Canis lupus familiaris: one gene and its partner. The protein of the gene in region 2 purifies or fractionates together with the protein of the main gene of each other region. This does not show direct contact. Links are inferred from orthologs where the notes say so. Each region holds a gene or a part of one and is shown on either strand. Other genes may lie near its edges.

Region 1 (7,316 bases), on a different chromosome or scaffold from region 2:
TCTACCTGGTGGCAAACCTGTTACAGATTTTTCCACCGAGATTTTTACTGGAGCAATATAGCCCGTTGACCATACATATGCAAATCTAACCACCATGAATGTTTGGATCTATTTTTTTAGACTGCAGCAGTCTGAAAAATGTGAGAGTTTTAAAAACTGTCTTAATATCTTAGTTGGGTGTTAAAGTCACACAGGATTAGAACATGACTAAGTGTTACTGAGACTCTGCCAAGCTGTGTAAGGTAAAATGGAAATGAGGTAAAAATATGCAAGCAGCCATGGTATACTGCTCTCTTTAAAAATTTCCAACAGAATTATGTAATGAACTGAAGAGTTGATAGGGTTGGTTTAGATTAGATCTTGCTGTGACTTAATTTAGAGCCACCATCATTAATAGACAAAAATTTTCTTTCGCTCCAAGCTAGTATTAGAATAATAGCAGCATTTTCTCAGAATGTGAATAGAGGTTCTTGAGATAATAGTCAATGTTGTTTTTCTAATGTTATCTCAAGACATCTCAGCAGTATTAAAACTGGCTTTTGCCTTTTGACTCCTAAGTTATATTATTTGCATTTAATTTAGCAAGTTTACTTCTGTATTCATACATGCTACACTTTGATTAAAGTGAAAGAGATAGTAAATATTGGTTCACAATGAGTGAAGCCAGTTTATATAAGTTGGTTAGCATTTTTTTCTCTTTTTCTATAAAACTGCCTAATTTTAGAAGGTGCTTAGTGAATGCTCAAGAAATATACCCAAGATTTGTTCTTTTGACAATCATCCTTTGTTCTGGTCTTCCAAATATGAGATGGCCTGAGTGCTATTTTAATATGAAAATGTTGTCCTTTATGCTTACTGAAATATGAATAGTTTTTTGTTTAATAGTCTTTGTCCTTTTGTCTTTCAGGAACTCTTTCCAGTTAATAGGCAGAGCGTGGATCATTTTGCTAAATACTTCACTGACGCAGGCCTAAAGGAGCTTTCCGACTTCCTCCGAGTCCAGCAGTCCCTGGGCACCAGGAAGGAGCTGCAGAAGGAGCTCCAGGAGCGTCTTTCTCAGGAATGCCCAATCAAGGAGGTAGGAAACCATCGGCTTGTATCACTGCAAAACACATGAATGGGAGCAGTAACATCATGTGGCACAGACTTGACCTTCCTGAAGGAGACTTCCTTTTTTACTTCTGTGAATTTTATGTATTTGTTTATACCATTTAAACTAGCATAATTGCAAAGTTTTGATTCAGAATCCTCTAGCATGTTCCAGAAATTGATGGTCATTTCCACGCAAGTGATTTATTTTATCAGGCTACTGTGATTAGCCGAATAGTTCATCTGTTAAATAGAGTTGCCATATACACCATTACATATACACCATATACATATGGTGTAAGGTAATATACATATACACCATTATATATACACCATATATACACCATTATATACACCATATACACCATTATAGAGTGGGTTTTCCATTTTATCGCAGATATTATAATATGGCTAAGTATATGGTTAGTATTTGAAATCAACACTGGGGGATCCCTGGGTGGCGCAGTGGTTTGGCGCCTGCCTTTGGCCCAGGGCGCGATCCTGGAGACCCGGGATCGAATCCCACATCGGGCTCCCGGTGCATGGAGCCTGCTTCTCCCTCTGCCTGTGTCTCTGCCTCTCTCTCTCTCTCTCTCTCTCTCTCTCTGTGACTATCATAAATAAATTTTTAAAAAATTTTTTAAAAAATTGAAATCAACACTGGGTATTTCAGGGATCACTGGGTATGAATATGTAGGGGGTTTTTTTATTTTAAGACAAAAAATTTTGATGGTTTTTTAATTTATATCTTGGGAAAAGAGCAGTTGGGCCAGTGGCTTATTTGATCATACTCGCAATAGCTGTGTATCCCTGTAAATGTAAATACTACCTTTTTTTATAATGGTAGTTTGTATAACTGTGACTATATATTTTTAATTTTTAAAAAATTTACCATCTGGGACACCTGGGTGGCTCAACGGTTGAGCCTGTACCTTTGACTCAGGGCATGATCCCGAGATCGAGTCCCTGCATGGAGCCTGCTTCTCCCTTTGCCTGTGTCTCTGCCTCTCTGTGTGTGTGTCTCTCGTGAATAAATAAATAAAATCTTAAAAAAAAAAAAAAAAAAAACTCCCATCTGCAGAAAACCTCCTATCTGAACTTTAACAGTTTTTACATGATAATCCAAAATTAAATCAAGTCCTTTCCTTTTGCCATTCACTTCCAAGTCCCAAATGCTTAGCGCTCTGTGCTCTAAGCCCCACCCGGTACCTTATGTGGCTGGAGAATTCTGGACCAATGCTATCCAGCAGATGGAGGTGTTGTGACAAAAATATTTCTAAGTCTCACGGCATTAAGGTCAGTAATGTATTCAGGAACATTTCTCCAAGTAAGAACTTGAACATGACTTTTCGATGGAGGAAAAAAAAGCAAAACCAACATCATAACACTGATGCTTCTGGATGCAAGGATGTCACCTATCTTGGCAGCTTCCTCCAGCCAGCTCAGGCACTGGGACCTCCCAGTCCCCTCTCTTCTCTAAGGCCACTTAACCCATTTATGACACCAGCCAGGAGGAAAGAAAACTATGATATTCACTGATAAGTGGGGACCAGGCCCGAGAGTTGTGCTATTCACAAAGCAGTAGTATACTTGATAGAGATTATGGTGTTTCATCACTGTCTTTATGATTATATTTCAAAAGGGAAAAGACTTTTCTAAACAAGTTTGATTAAGCTAGGCAGACCTTTTATTCCAGGCCATCTGATTGGAGGATAAATTTGCATATTTAAACATGATTCTAAGGGAGAAAATAACCTGTCTGTTGTTGTTGGATTAATATGTATCATATTAAAAAAATTGCCTCTGCACTTTACAGTTTATTCACATGGGGAATCAGGGTCATCAGAAATAATCATTAAGGAATAAATTATAGTGAATGGACTTGCACAAACCCAAGACATCATTCATCAACGGGTTTAAAGTTGAGAGTTGAGGATCGGAGGAAAAGAGTCCCGGCTCCATCCCCTTGTTTGAAACCCCATGAGAGAATCAAATTGGCCCACGTAATCTGCTCTGCCGGACCCAAGGGGGGTTGCTGCATGTAAAAGAATTAACTCCTAAGGAACAAAGATTCCCTCTTATTTCTTACTACCCAGCAACTCCTGGCCAGAGCTGAGCCTATTAATTTTTGGACTAAAAATAAATCTGCTTCGAGAACACATCATTGTGTTTTTCCTCCCTCTTGTCCTCTGAGAATATGTCCCAGGAAAAGAGGGACTGAGCAGAATATTTATCCACCCAAAACCTTTTACTGACCAGGCACAGTGAGAGGGAGCCTCCTATCTGCCTGTTCCTCTTTGACCCCTTCCTCCCTGAAATGTAGGTGGTGCTCTACGTCAAAGAAGAAATGAAGAGGAATGATCTTCCAGAGACAGCAGTGATTGGACTTCTGTGGACCTGTATAATGAATGCTGTTGAATGGAACAAGAAGGAAGAACTGGTTGCGGAGCAGGCCCTTAAGCACCTGAAGGTACAGACTCAAGAGGGCACAGTCGTGGCTGTAGACCTATGGCAGCTGTCAACTCTACATTTGACACATGGGTTCTAACTGCACTTCACCCAGGTTTAGGCCAAAGATAGATGTCCATTTTTTTTCTTTGATTCTGTTGTTGTTGTGGGTTTATTTTGTTTTGTTTTGATTTCAAATTTGCCATTATCTAAAATGTCTCAGAGGTAAGGGCCTATGAAATATCAAAGAGTAAATTCTTACTAAACACAATGTCGGGGGCACCTTGGTGGCTCCATTAGTTAAGCGTCTGCCTTTGGCTCAGGTCATGACCCCAGAGTCTTGGGATCAAGCTCCGTGTCGGGCTTCCTGTTTAGTGGGGAGTTTCCTTCTTCCTCTCCCTCTGCCCCTCCTCCTGCTTATGCTCTCTTGATCTCAAATAAATAAATAAATAACCTTAAAAAAATAATGTCAGAAATGTCAGAAAATTCACAGAATAATCATATTCAGTATTTAAAGAAAAATATGGCCTATTGTTTTGTTTTTGTTTTTGTTTTTTTTCTTTCTACATGACAAAAATTCTTGGTAATTTTAAGTAGACTACTGATTGGCATTAGAATTTGAGAAGTGTCTGATTGGTCGGAAGTCAATTCATTGTGTAAATTGCATGTTTTTTTCATGGATACATGTTTTTGCTTGTTTACTCCCTATAAACCTATATTAAGATGAGTGAAAGACTTAGATCCTTCCTTCAGAGTTTACATTTGAACTAGTAAGTCAAAAACTACCTAGTAGAAATTAGGTAGAATGTAAATTAAAGAACTCTCAGGGTTTAGAACAGAGCAGTGAGTAAAATCTGCAGGTTAACTTGATCCGGGAGGGCTCCTTGGAGGAAATTTGTGAATGGGGTTAGTTAGGTCTTAAGAAAAAACGGTGGCTATACATCAGGGACCGGAAACCAGGGACAATTGGGACAAAGGAGCAATATGAACAAAATGAACAAAACCACAAAGATGACCTGTGAGGGGGGTCCGGGATGTATGGAAAAGAAAACTCCACACTCCACCAATACCGAATGTGGCCACTCCAAGACCTCACTCTATTTTCTTTTTATAGTGCCCAGTAGATGACGTAGTACATGGCCTTTAATAAAGTCAGAATTTCATATTTGATCTCTTCTTCTTTTAGTGGGTGCTGTGAAGAAATCTGATATGACGCTAAGATAAAAGATAAATTCTGATTGGACACTGTTATAATCCTAAAAATAAATGCTTTCTAAGCAAATCCCCCAGATTCCAGCTGTGATTCAAGTATTGTTGGCCCTGTACTTCCCATGAAAATTAATGGTTGGTCTTATTCCCCACTTCTGTTCCAGCAATATGCTCCACTGCTGGCTGTGTTTAGTTCCCAGGGCCAGTCAGAACTGATCCTCCTCCAGAAGGTTCAAGAATACTGTTACGACAACATCCATTTCATGAAAGCTTTTCAGAAGATCGTGGTTCTCTTTTATAAAGGTATCTGTCCATGTTACTCTACAACGTTTCCATGTTTTGTTGAAGCTCTTTGAGGCCCAGCACAGGGTTGGGGGAGGCAAAGGGGGAAATGGGGTTCATGCTAATTTTTGCAAGTTTTAGTGAGGCAACCATATTATGTGAAAAGAGAAAGTGCAAATGCCATATAGGCATGATTAGGCCCCTGGGCCCATTGCCAGAAGGCTGATGATAAACTGGTTATTATTTTGGGTGGGGAGGGATGGTGAAAAAGACTGTACTAACAAAAAGTAATGAGGTCTGCTTTTGAATTTTAAGGATTAGCTCTAATAACAGTGACTACTGAGGGCTGCCTGTAGTATATTCAGACCTGCTCAGATGCTAAAAAGCTGACTAAAATTACTGAAATAATTAGCTTTTTACTTTGTATTTTAATTATCTGGTCCAGCCATTCTCCTGTTCTTCATGGAAATGATTATTTTTAGAATTTACACTTTACTGTCTTTTCATTGTATTTGGAAGGATTAAGTTGTCATGACAACTAGCACTGCCTTTAATAAGTGAACACTATTAGAATGTTAACTGATCTCATTTTCTATACCTGTAGTATACAAAAAATGATCCTGGGCTATTCTTTGGTCTGAGTTCACATAGTTTTATGGGGGGAAGAAGGAGCACTTAAGAAATGATACACTTTGAACATTATAAAATGATTAACATCAACTAAATGTTTCTTTTCCTTTCTATGCGTTTTTAAATTTGTCTATTTTGAATGATAATTTGGACATGTGGAGTGTAAGAATTTTATATTATTGATTAATAGCTATTTTTAAAATAGCATTTCACAGAGTTCTAATTATCCAGATTCTTCGATGCACATATCTTGGCTACAAGTGTTTGGGTAATATTTTACTTTCTCAGCATGAGGGTATTCAGCACAATTTTTATATCAGTAGGAGTATGTGCTTACACGTCCCATTTGAAGTTCAGTACTTGGTGTGTTTCTCTGGCCAGATCTGAATTAGGTCCTCTTGGACATGGTGTCAGGAGATATTGACGTCCTAAAACTAGGGCTTAGAGGATGCCCAAGGTGACCCATCAGAACCCAACCTGAGGGTCATATGGCTACCCACCTGCGGTACCCAGTAGCCAAGAAAGAGAAACCGTGCACACCCAGCCCGTGGCCACTCTGTCCACACTAACCATTGCTCACTTCACTGTAAGCTGGTAGAGAGAGACCTCTGAGACAGGTTTCACATTTGCTTTGTGAGTGGCCAGGATTATCCCCTACAGAAAAGCAAACTGTTTGTAAACTACTAGCCTAAGCACACAGTTTACTTTCTTGTCACTTAAGAGCTAACCCAACTGAAGCGAACTGGGGGTGGTGGAAGGGGAGGTGGGCGGGGGGTGGTGGGGGTGACTGGGTGATGGGCACTGAGGTGGGCACTTGACGGGATGAGCACTGGGTGTTATTCTGGGTGTTGGCAAATTGAACACCAATAAAAAATGAATTTATATTTAAAAAAAAAGCTAACCCAACTAACCAAATCTTTTTGTAACAGAGACATACTGTTTGAGCCTTATCTGCAGGAGCACTTCATTTTATTAATGAACTTGATTTTCACACACACACACACACACACACACACACACACACACATATACACGTACTACTCTGTCAGTAATGGCATCTATTAAAATTCTTTTTCAGATTTCTCATTTTAACCATTAATGTCAACATTCTTTCCCACTGTACTCCTTATAACATCTATTGACAACAAAACTGGATGCTTTGAGTGATTTCTTATTCTTCATCTCCACATGCAAAAAAACAGAGACCTGGAATTACAAAATTAACAGAGAAGTGGATACCAAGAAGAAAAAAAAAAAAAGCAATAGCTCTTCCTAAGGCCATTAATTAACTAGGTGGTCAGGTTTTAAGTAGTTAAAAGTCAGGTCTGTGGAAAGTATGAGCGAACCCAAGGGAACACAGGAAGGTGTCAACGTCAGTTTTATTATGGCTTAGTTATTTTCGTGAATGAAATCAGGAAACCATAAAATGGAAACCGAAAATACATCACTGAGGAATGAAAACTAAGTGTTATTTCCTAGGTAGTTTCATAATTTCCCACAAAATTATACAGATAGGCTATTATACTGGATGAAATAATTAGATTTTTTTTTTTCCTCTTGGAAACATGGAATCCCCGAGGAATGATCTTTCCACCCTACTATTAAGAGTTAGTGTTTACCTTCTTACCTTTTTTTGGATAGTGGTTTTTTATTCGACC
Region 2 (7,801 bases):
AATAAATGTAGAACGGAGAAACCAAACTGAAGACCTCAGCAAAGAACAGGAAGACAGAATCATTACTACCATTCAGTAGATTACAGCAAAACAACCTTGGATGGGTGGTCTCATTGCTCCCAGAAAGGGGAACGGAATACACGGAATCTTTACATGTCAAAATCTTCAGCAGATCCAACCCGGAAAGAGTGCCCATCTCTTCCCCAATGCTAAGAAGCAGATCATGTCATCTGTGCTCACCAGCACCTGCTCAGAGGCTGGCACATCACCGGGGCTCAATAAATGTTTGCTGAGGAACTGGAGAAAGCAGACAGCAATAGAGAAGAGGAAACAAAAAGAAGGACTGGTGTAGCACTGATACTGAAAAGTGTGGGTGGTCTCAGGCCAGGGAGAAAGGAAGAGTCCACACTATGGAACACCTTGGAAGCCAAAGCTTTTAACCCGAAAGCTGGAGGGTGGGGGGTGGGGACCCTTGAAGTAAATTTGCACAGGCAAGTGACTGATTCAGAACTCAGAATGAAGAGCCAGCCGTGGGAATAGCTGAAGGACAGAGGTATCAGGCAAAGTACAACCAAGATGCAAGTGTGGCTCAGCAATGATGGGGTAGTTAGAAATCAGGCTGGAGAGGCACCTGGGTGGTTCAGGTGGTTAAGGTTCTGCCTTGGCTCACGTCATGATCTCGGGGTCCTGGGATGGAGCCCATGCATTGGGCTTCCTGCTTAGTGGGGAATCTGCCGCTCCCTCTCCATCTGCCGTTCCCCCTGCTTGTGCTCTCTCCCCCTCTCAAATAAATAAATAAAATCTTAAAAGAAATCAATCAATCAACCAACCAGTCAGGCTGGAGCCATATAAGGTAGGGGCTTTCAATTCTCATCCCCAAATTAGAGACAGATCTTTGACCCAGAAAAAGATAAAGATCCATGCTTTGGTGGCAGATGGAAACTACCTTTCCTTCCCAAAAAAACCTGACTCCTAGATATCCTTACAGGCAAGGAGAGGTCTTACTCATCTGCATAGCCTCATTATATCTAAAAAGCTCAAAATTATTTGCTAAATGAAGTAAATCAGAAACCCAGAGGAAAAAAAAAAAGAAAGAAAGAAAAAAGAAAAGAAACCCAGAGAAAGAAAATTTTAAAAAAAGAGGTCTACTAACAAAGTGGTGAGGGCAGAGAACTTTTGTTCATGGCACCACTATTTATCACTAAAAATAGTACTCAGGAGAGACATCAGTGAGTATTAGAAAAATATAGTATTATGGCTTTATGACCCCAGAAAGGAGTGGGTCCAAAAGCAGAATGAGGTACTGGGGAAAAAGCTTGACATTTTAGACTGAGCTGTTCTAACAGGATGTATGAAAGACCTTGGGTAGGTCATCTCCTCTGGTCTTCAGATCCCTGAAACAAACTAAGGGAACCAGACTGACTATTCACCAAAGAATTTCTGGGTGAGTTCCAACTCTCTGTGTAGCTTTACTTTCTCATGTGTCCACCATTCCTATCAACAGGCACAGCCAAGATGCCCGTGAGTGATCTGCTAAATGAATGAAGACCAACTTCTCATCTTACAAGACTGGAAACTGGGGCCTGGTTAGATGGCAGCTCAGGGACAGAAAGCTAGTTAGTGGCAGTGTGTGGGGAGGCCCTGGGACTCCTGGGTTCTTCAGCAGAGGTAGGAACAGATGAAGGAAACCGGAGAGAGGTGGGAGGAGATGGGCACTTTGCTGGAGAAGTGGAGGTGGTGGTGGAGGTGATAGAGGTGGTGGGAATGTTTGCTGGAGGTGGAGGTGGAGGTGGTAGAGGTGGAGGTGGTGGTGGAGATGGTGGAGGTGGTGGAGGTGGTGGTGGAGGAGGAGGTGGAGGAGGTGGTGGAGGTGGTAGTGGAGGAGGTGGAGGAGGAGGAGGAGGAGGTGGAGGTGGAGGTGGTGGAGGTGGAGGTGGTGGAGGTGGAGGTGGAGGTGGTGGAGGTGGAGGTGGTGGAGGTGGAGGTGGTGCTGTTCCAGCTGAGAGCTCCTGGAATCCAAGGGGCACCAGACTGGGCGGTGATCAGGACTGCGGCAGCTCGAACCCCAGCTCCAGGGCCGACGGGGTCCGGTGCCTCAGGCGTAGTAGGCGCTCGGTAGATGCACCCGTGGGTGGCACGTTGAGCACTCCTGTACAGCGCGTGCGGAGGAAAACGCGCGACGTGTGGTCAAAAGCGGTAGTAAAAACAATAAATCCCCAATTACAAGCCAGAGAAAGCGGGCTGAGCACTTCCCGTGCCCCCCCCAGTTTACAAGGCTCCCACGTGCCGATCCTACGGAGGTCCGGGTTCGAGGCTCAGAGTGACCTTGGACCAGCCTCATTCCTCCCGGTCTCCGTCCTCTCATTTGCAAGGCGGAGGTGGCGGCCCCACCGCCAGGCCCTCCCAAGGGTCCCGAAGAGGGGGCCCCGGGCCGCGCCTGCAGCCGCCCGCGCCCGCAATGGGGTCGCGGGACGCCGGGGCCTGCACGGCCGCGGGGGGGCAGCCCCGCATGTCCCCTGCAGGCCCTCGTAGGCCGGTCTCCATGGCAGCCCGACCTCCCTACCTTCCTGCCGGCAGTAGGCCATGGCTGCAGCCCCGGGGCTCAGACCTGGCGGCGGTAGCGGTGGTGGCGGCACAGGCGGCAGCGGGCTCACGCGGTGACCTCTTCTTAGGCAGGGCGGGCGGCGCCGAGGCCCACGCGGACCCGCCCCCTCCAGGCCTGCCCGCCGCGCGCCTGCCTCCGCGCCCTCCCAGCCCCAGCCCGGCCCCTCTCAGCCGGGAACTACATTCCCCAGGGATCCGCGCGCGGCTCGGGGCGCTGAGGCAGTAGGAACTACATATCCCTTCATGACTTGCGGTGCGCAGGCGCATCAGTGAGGTCCGCGGCGCGTTGCAGCGTGGTGGCTACGGCGCCTGCCCCGGAACTACATATTCCAGGAGGCCTTGCGGCGCGCTGGAGCGGGAGGGCGGTGGCTCGCGGGCCGGTGACTGCTGCGCGTCCTCCCTGATTCTGGGGTTCACGCGAATTCTCGCAGCTCCGGAGCAGGCGGGAGGCCGCCGGGCTCTGCCCGCAGGCGGCCAGCCCCTCCCGTAGCCGAGCAGAGCGAGGGCGAGCGCCCGGCCGGGTCGCAGGATGGCCGCGAACGTGAGTGTCTCCCGGTCCGCCGGACCCCGCAGGCTTCCCCGCTCCTCGTAGCGGCCGCCGGGGTCCGGCTTGGCGGCCTGGCGCCCTCTGCGGGGCCTTGTCCGGCCGTCCGGGCCGCGCGTTTGCGGGGCGGGGGTCTCAGGAGACGCGGTGGGTGCGCGTCGGGGTCTGTGCCAGGGCCCCTCCCGCAGCCCCTGCGTCGCTCTGGGTTCCCGCCTGGGCCCTTGCGCTCCTCCTGCAGGGGCTGCGGGGGCCGGCGCGACCTCCGAGGAGCCAGGGAAGCCGGGACCGCCCGGGCGGGCCCCATCTGCGGACGGACGGACTGCGGTGTGCGGGCGGCGGTGGGATGCCGCGGGAGGGTGCGGGCGGGAGTGCGCGGAGGACCGGGAGCAGGCGGACCCGCGGCCCGGCCCTTGTGCCCTCGGTGTGTTTGGCTGGAGGGGCCCTGGCCGAAGGTGGTTCCCTGCAGAGGCCTCCTGCCGTGTCTCCCCGCAGCCAGCCTGCCTCGGGGACTTCGCGATGTACGCCCAGCATTCATTCAACAAACCGAGCAGCGCCTCCCACCAGGGTGCTGGGTGTGGGAAGGCTGGTGACTCACCACTCCCCTCCTCTGTGCAAGTGCTTCTGGAGCCAGCCCTGGTGCCCTGCCAGCCCCAGGACACTCCCTCCCTCCTGCTTTGCTGGAGTGGCCTAGCCACTGTCCCCTGGCCTGTTACACCCTCTTTCCAGCCTCTCTAATGTCCCCGAGGGTCCTCCCTGCCCTCCACGCCCCTGGAGAGGCAGGGTTTGTATCACCCACAGCCCTAGGACGCTCCACCTCAGCCAGAGTTGTCTGGGAGACCTAGAAGTCGTGAATGCTGCGCCTAGGAAAGCCTCAGGGGTGGCCCAAGACCCAGGGGCTGCCAGGGGAGAGGACAGTCAGGAGACCAGCCTGCCCCCAGAGGTAGACCCCTGTCTGCCCTCATACAATATTTTACAGATTGAGGATTTGCCCACTAGGCAGGCACTTGCCTGGGGTCTCACAGCCTGCGTGGCCAGCTACTGCATGGGAAGATGCTGAAGAGCGCGGGCTTTGGAGTCAGGCCGACCTGGGAGCAAATCCAGTTTCTTCCTCTGAGAAGCTGTGTGGCCTTAATCACTCTGGGCCGGTGTTTCTTCGTGGGACCTGTTAGTGTGAAGTTTAAGGGAGTCAGCCTGTGACTAGCACAGTGCCTGGTGCAGAGAGGGTGCTTACTTAATGCATGAAAAAAAAAAATCTAGGTTCACAGTCTGCCGCAGATGGCCCTGGTGAGCAGAGACTCTCTTGGGTGTACTGGCACCTGACCTTTGCCAAGGAATGTGTATGAATGTGGGTATCTTCTGCAGCCAAACCTTTGTTGAGTCATCCAGGCACGTTTACAGGAGCCACCAGGCCTGGTGAGGAAGAAAGATCTGAAGGTGGTGGGGTGGTGCAAGGAGGTGGCATGATTTCTTCATCGATGTAACAACAAAACTGCCCTGTGACAGAGGTTCTGTGAACCATCTCCATTTTATAAGTGAGCAAATAGGATCAGAAGGTTAGATAGCAAGTAATACAGGGTAATTTTCAGGGCCTGTGTGTAACCTCTGTTCCATCACTCATTGCTCTTGCTCAGGAGCCTAGAGTGCTCACTGAGGACATGCATATGTATTCAGCACATATCAAGGAGCCAACATCAAGATAAGGGGCTCAGAGGTGGCCTTGAAGGGGGAGAAGAGAGGCACTGGGAAATAGAGTGGGTAGTGAGCTGTGGGTGGAGGAAATCTCTATGATCCTCCATCCCAAGACCATCCATGTTTACTGGATTTTGTTTTGGAATGTGGGCTGAGTGTGTCATGTCAGTGCTCACCTTGCCTGAGCTGCACCCTCCTGTGCCTCTCTTTCTTCCCTTCAAGGTCTTCCATGAGCCGCTCTCCTTGATGTGGCTCCTAGATGTATGCTGAGGGGAGGCCCAGAGTTCTGGAAGTCATGCCCTCTGGCTTCCCAGTTGGGGGCTGCACTGCTAATAGCAGGATGGACTCCCTTTCCTGACACTCTCTGCTGCTGGCTCCCAGCATTCGGCTCTCCTTATAGCCCAAGAAGTGAGGAATGTGGCTTGGAGCACAGTGGTAGAAGAGTGGCCTCTGGTCTGTCCAGATATGAAACCTAATTATCCCTCTTAGAGGCTGGGTGATCTGGGCTGGTGACTTAACTGATAAGCCTTGCTTTTCTCAGCTCTGAAATGGGATAGCGATAGCTTGCCAGTGACTGGCCTGTGATAGACTGGCGTAGTGCCTTCGTCATCATTATGATGGTGGATGGCCACCTACCTGCCTGCAGTGAACCGCTCTATTAACCGTTTCCCAATGGAATTGGAAGTTAGACCATTTCTGAGTGTAATGAACATCTGGTCCCTGCGGGCCTGGGCTGGAGCATTGGGGGACAGTCAGAGATTATGGCATCAGCCTTATTTGGGCAGAGGCTGACCTGAATCTCTCCTCTGGTCCCCCGTGCCAGGTGCTTGGCTCACTCCAAGTGCGCATCTCAGAACCACTGTCCACCTTTGTGACTTCTGTCAGCTTACCCCCAGCCGTGGCACCAGTCTCGGGTGCCCGTTACAGAGAAAGCTGGGAGCATTCCCACCAGCTAGCACCTGTACATTCCATCTTGTGTCCTGGGCACTGAGCTGCCTGATAATTAAGTCCTTTGGTTCTCACCACAACCCTGTGTACTGGATTTTCATCCCATTTTACTGCTGAGGAGATGGAGGGCATAAGAGGGATAATTGCTCACCCAAGGTCTCATAGCCTGAATACAGACCCAGCACTCTGGCTCCAGGATCCCTTGACGATGATACTCAGTCAGCAGTGGACACACCTCAGACCATGCTTCTGTTATCAGCTGGATAAAACCTGACCCACTGACTCTGGAGATTGAGGCCTACCACAAACCCACCTGTGTCTGGTTGCCCTCCTCTCCCTCCACCCTGTGCCTCCCCAAACCCAGCCAGAGCTCTGCTCCCAGAACTACTTCCTGCTTCCTCACCATTGCTCAAACAGATCCCCCTCCGAGGGATGCTTTACGCCAGGGTCTGCCTCTGAGATCCCAATCAAACGCCCCCTCCTCTGGGGAGCCTGCTGAGATCCCCAGCTGGAAGGGGTCACCCATTTAGCCCTGGATCTGCTCCTCACCAAACACTCAGCATGGCCTAGTACCGTGCATGCCTGCAACTCACTGGCCCTGCAGCCTATCTTCCCTTCCCTCACTCCTAGAAGACCCAGCACGGCCCTTGGGAAGCTGAGCCACCGTGTGTTGAATTGAATGAATAACACATGCCTAGTTATGGCTTTGTACAACGGTTTGACAGTTTCATAAAAACACACCTCTTCCCTATGATTCAGCAATCTCACCCCTCTGTGGGTATTCCTTACCTAGTACCCAAGGAAATGAAAGCCCTATGTCTTCACAGAAACTTCTCCAAAAACGTTCATAGAAGCATTGTTCATGATAGCTAAGAACTGGAAGTAACCAAAATACCCACCCACTGGTGAATGAGTTGACAAACGTGGTATACTCATAGGTGCAGCGCTACTCGGCCGCATACAGGAGTGAGCTACTGATACACACCACAGGGTAGATGACCCTCCTCAGAATCTGGACAGAAAGAGTTTGTGGTGTGTGATGGCCCCATTTGTTCCATAAGAGGTCACCTCATCTATAATGATACAAATTCAAATCGTTGTTAACACTAGGGAGTGGGAGAGGAGAGTATTGGCAGGAAAGAGGCACAAAGTAACTTTCTGGGATGATAGGAACAATCCCTATCTTGATCTGGATGCTGGTCAAATGGAGTAAGCATTTGTCAAAGCCTATCAAACCAGATGCTTAATATCTGCATTTTTACTGTATGTAATCGAAACTCGAACCATATGAACAAATAGCAAAATAACAAAATTCAGTTTATTTTTTAAAAAACTAATTTTCATTTTGATTTTTTTTTTTTTTGTAATATTCTTTTTCTCAGTATTCCAGTACGAGTAACAGGAGAGAACATGTCAAAACTACGACCAAGCCCCAGCCAGGCTTCTTGGAGCGGCTCAGCGAGACCTCGGGTGGGATGTTTGTGGGGCTCATGACCTTCCTGCTCTCCTTCTACCTAATTTTCACCAATGAGGTAAAATGTCTAGAGTCCCTCTGTGCAGAGTGAGGGTCCCTGGAGGATAGTCTTCCTAGCAAAGGGTGTGAATCCAGAGGTTGGATGTGGCCTAGATTTTACAACAGGTGGGATGGAGGGGGACAGTGATGGTGCTGAATTAATCAGAATCTTTCTCGTGTGACTTATCTCATAACTGACTTAAGTAGGAAGATGAATGGATCAGTTCACAGGCCTGAAATCCTAAGGTAGGACTAGCTTCGGGCATGGCTGGATCCAGGTGCTCATGTTGGGTCACTAGGAATCTCCATTTTTCCATCATTTGCCTCTGCTTCTCTGTTGTGGGCTTTTCTTTGACAGGCTCTTCCTTTGTGGTGGTAAAGGTGGCTCAGCAACTCCAGGGTCACATGTAACCAGCTTAGCAGCCCCATCTCTTTCAAAATCAGTATAGCAAAAGTTGCAGAGAGAGGTCTCCGTGTCCTGGCTTGTCTCAGTTCTCTCTCTG

What was found. The genes of interacting proteins can lie anywhere in the genome.
Region 1: the proteins of TMEM43 (region 2) and BZW2 purify together in Homo sapiens (affinity purification with mass spectrometry; 3 studies listed by BioGRID and IntAct, counting the BioPlex papers as one, with this or other methods). This does not show direct contact. The link is inferred for Canis lupus familiaris from reciprocal best matches to the Homo sapiens genes TMEM43 and BZW2.

What each region holds. Positions count from the first base shown.
Region 1 is NC_049235.1:31,251,675-31,258,990, forward strand, and holds part of BZW2 (basic leucine zipper and W2 domain-containing protein 2), read left to right. Parts: intron 1-907; coding exon 908-1,078; intron 1,079-3,412; coding exon 3,413-3,559; intron 3,560-4,910; coding exon 4,911-5,049; intron 5,050-7,316. UniProt on the Homo sapiens protein: Translation initiation regulator which represses non-AUG initiated translation and repeat-associated non-AUG (RAN) initiated translation by acting as a competitive inhibitor of eukaryotic translation initiation factor 5 (EIF5) function.
Region 2 is NC_049241.1:4,306,429-4,314,229, forward strand, and holds the start of TMEM43 (transmembrane protein 43), read left to right. Parts: upstream 1-2,936; 5' UTR 2,937-3,133; coding exon 3,134-3,145; intron 3,146-7,167; coding exon 7,168-7,317; intron 7,318-7,801. Other genes in the region: CHCHD4 (mitochondrial intermembrane space import and assembly protein 40), read right to left, coding at 2,564-2,585. UniProt on the Homo sapiens protein: May have an important role in maintaining nuclear envelope structure by organizing protein complexes at the inner nuclear membrane. Required for retaining emerin at the inner nuclear membrane.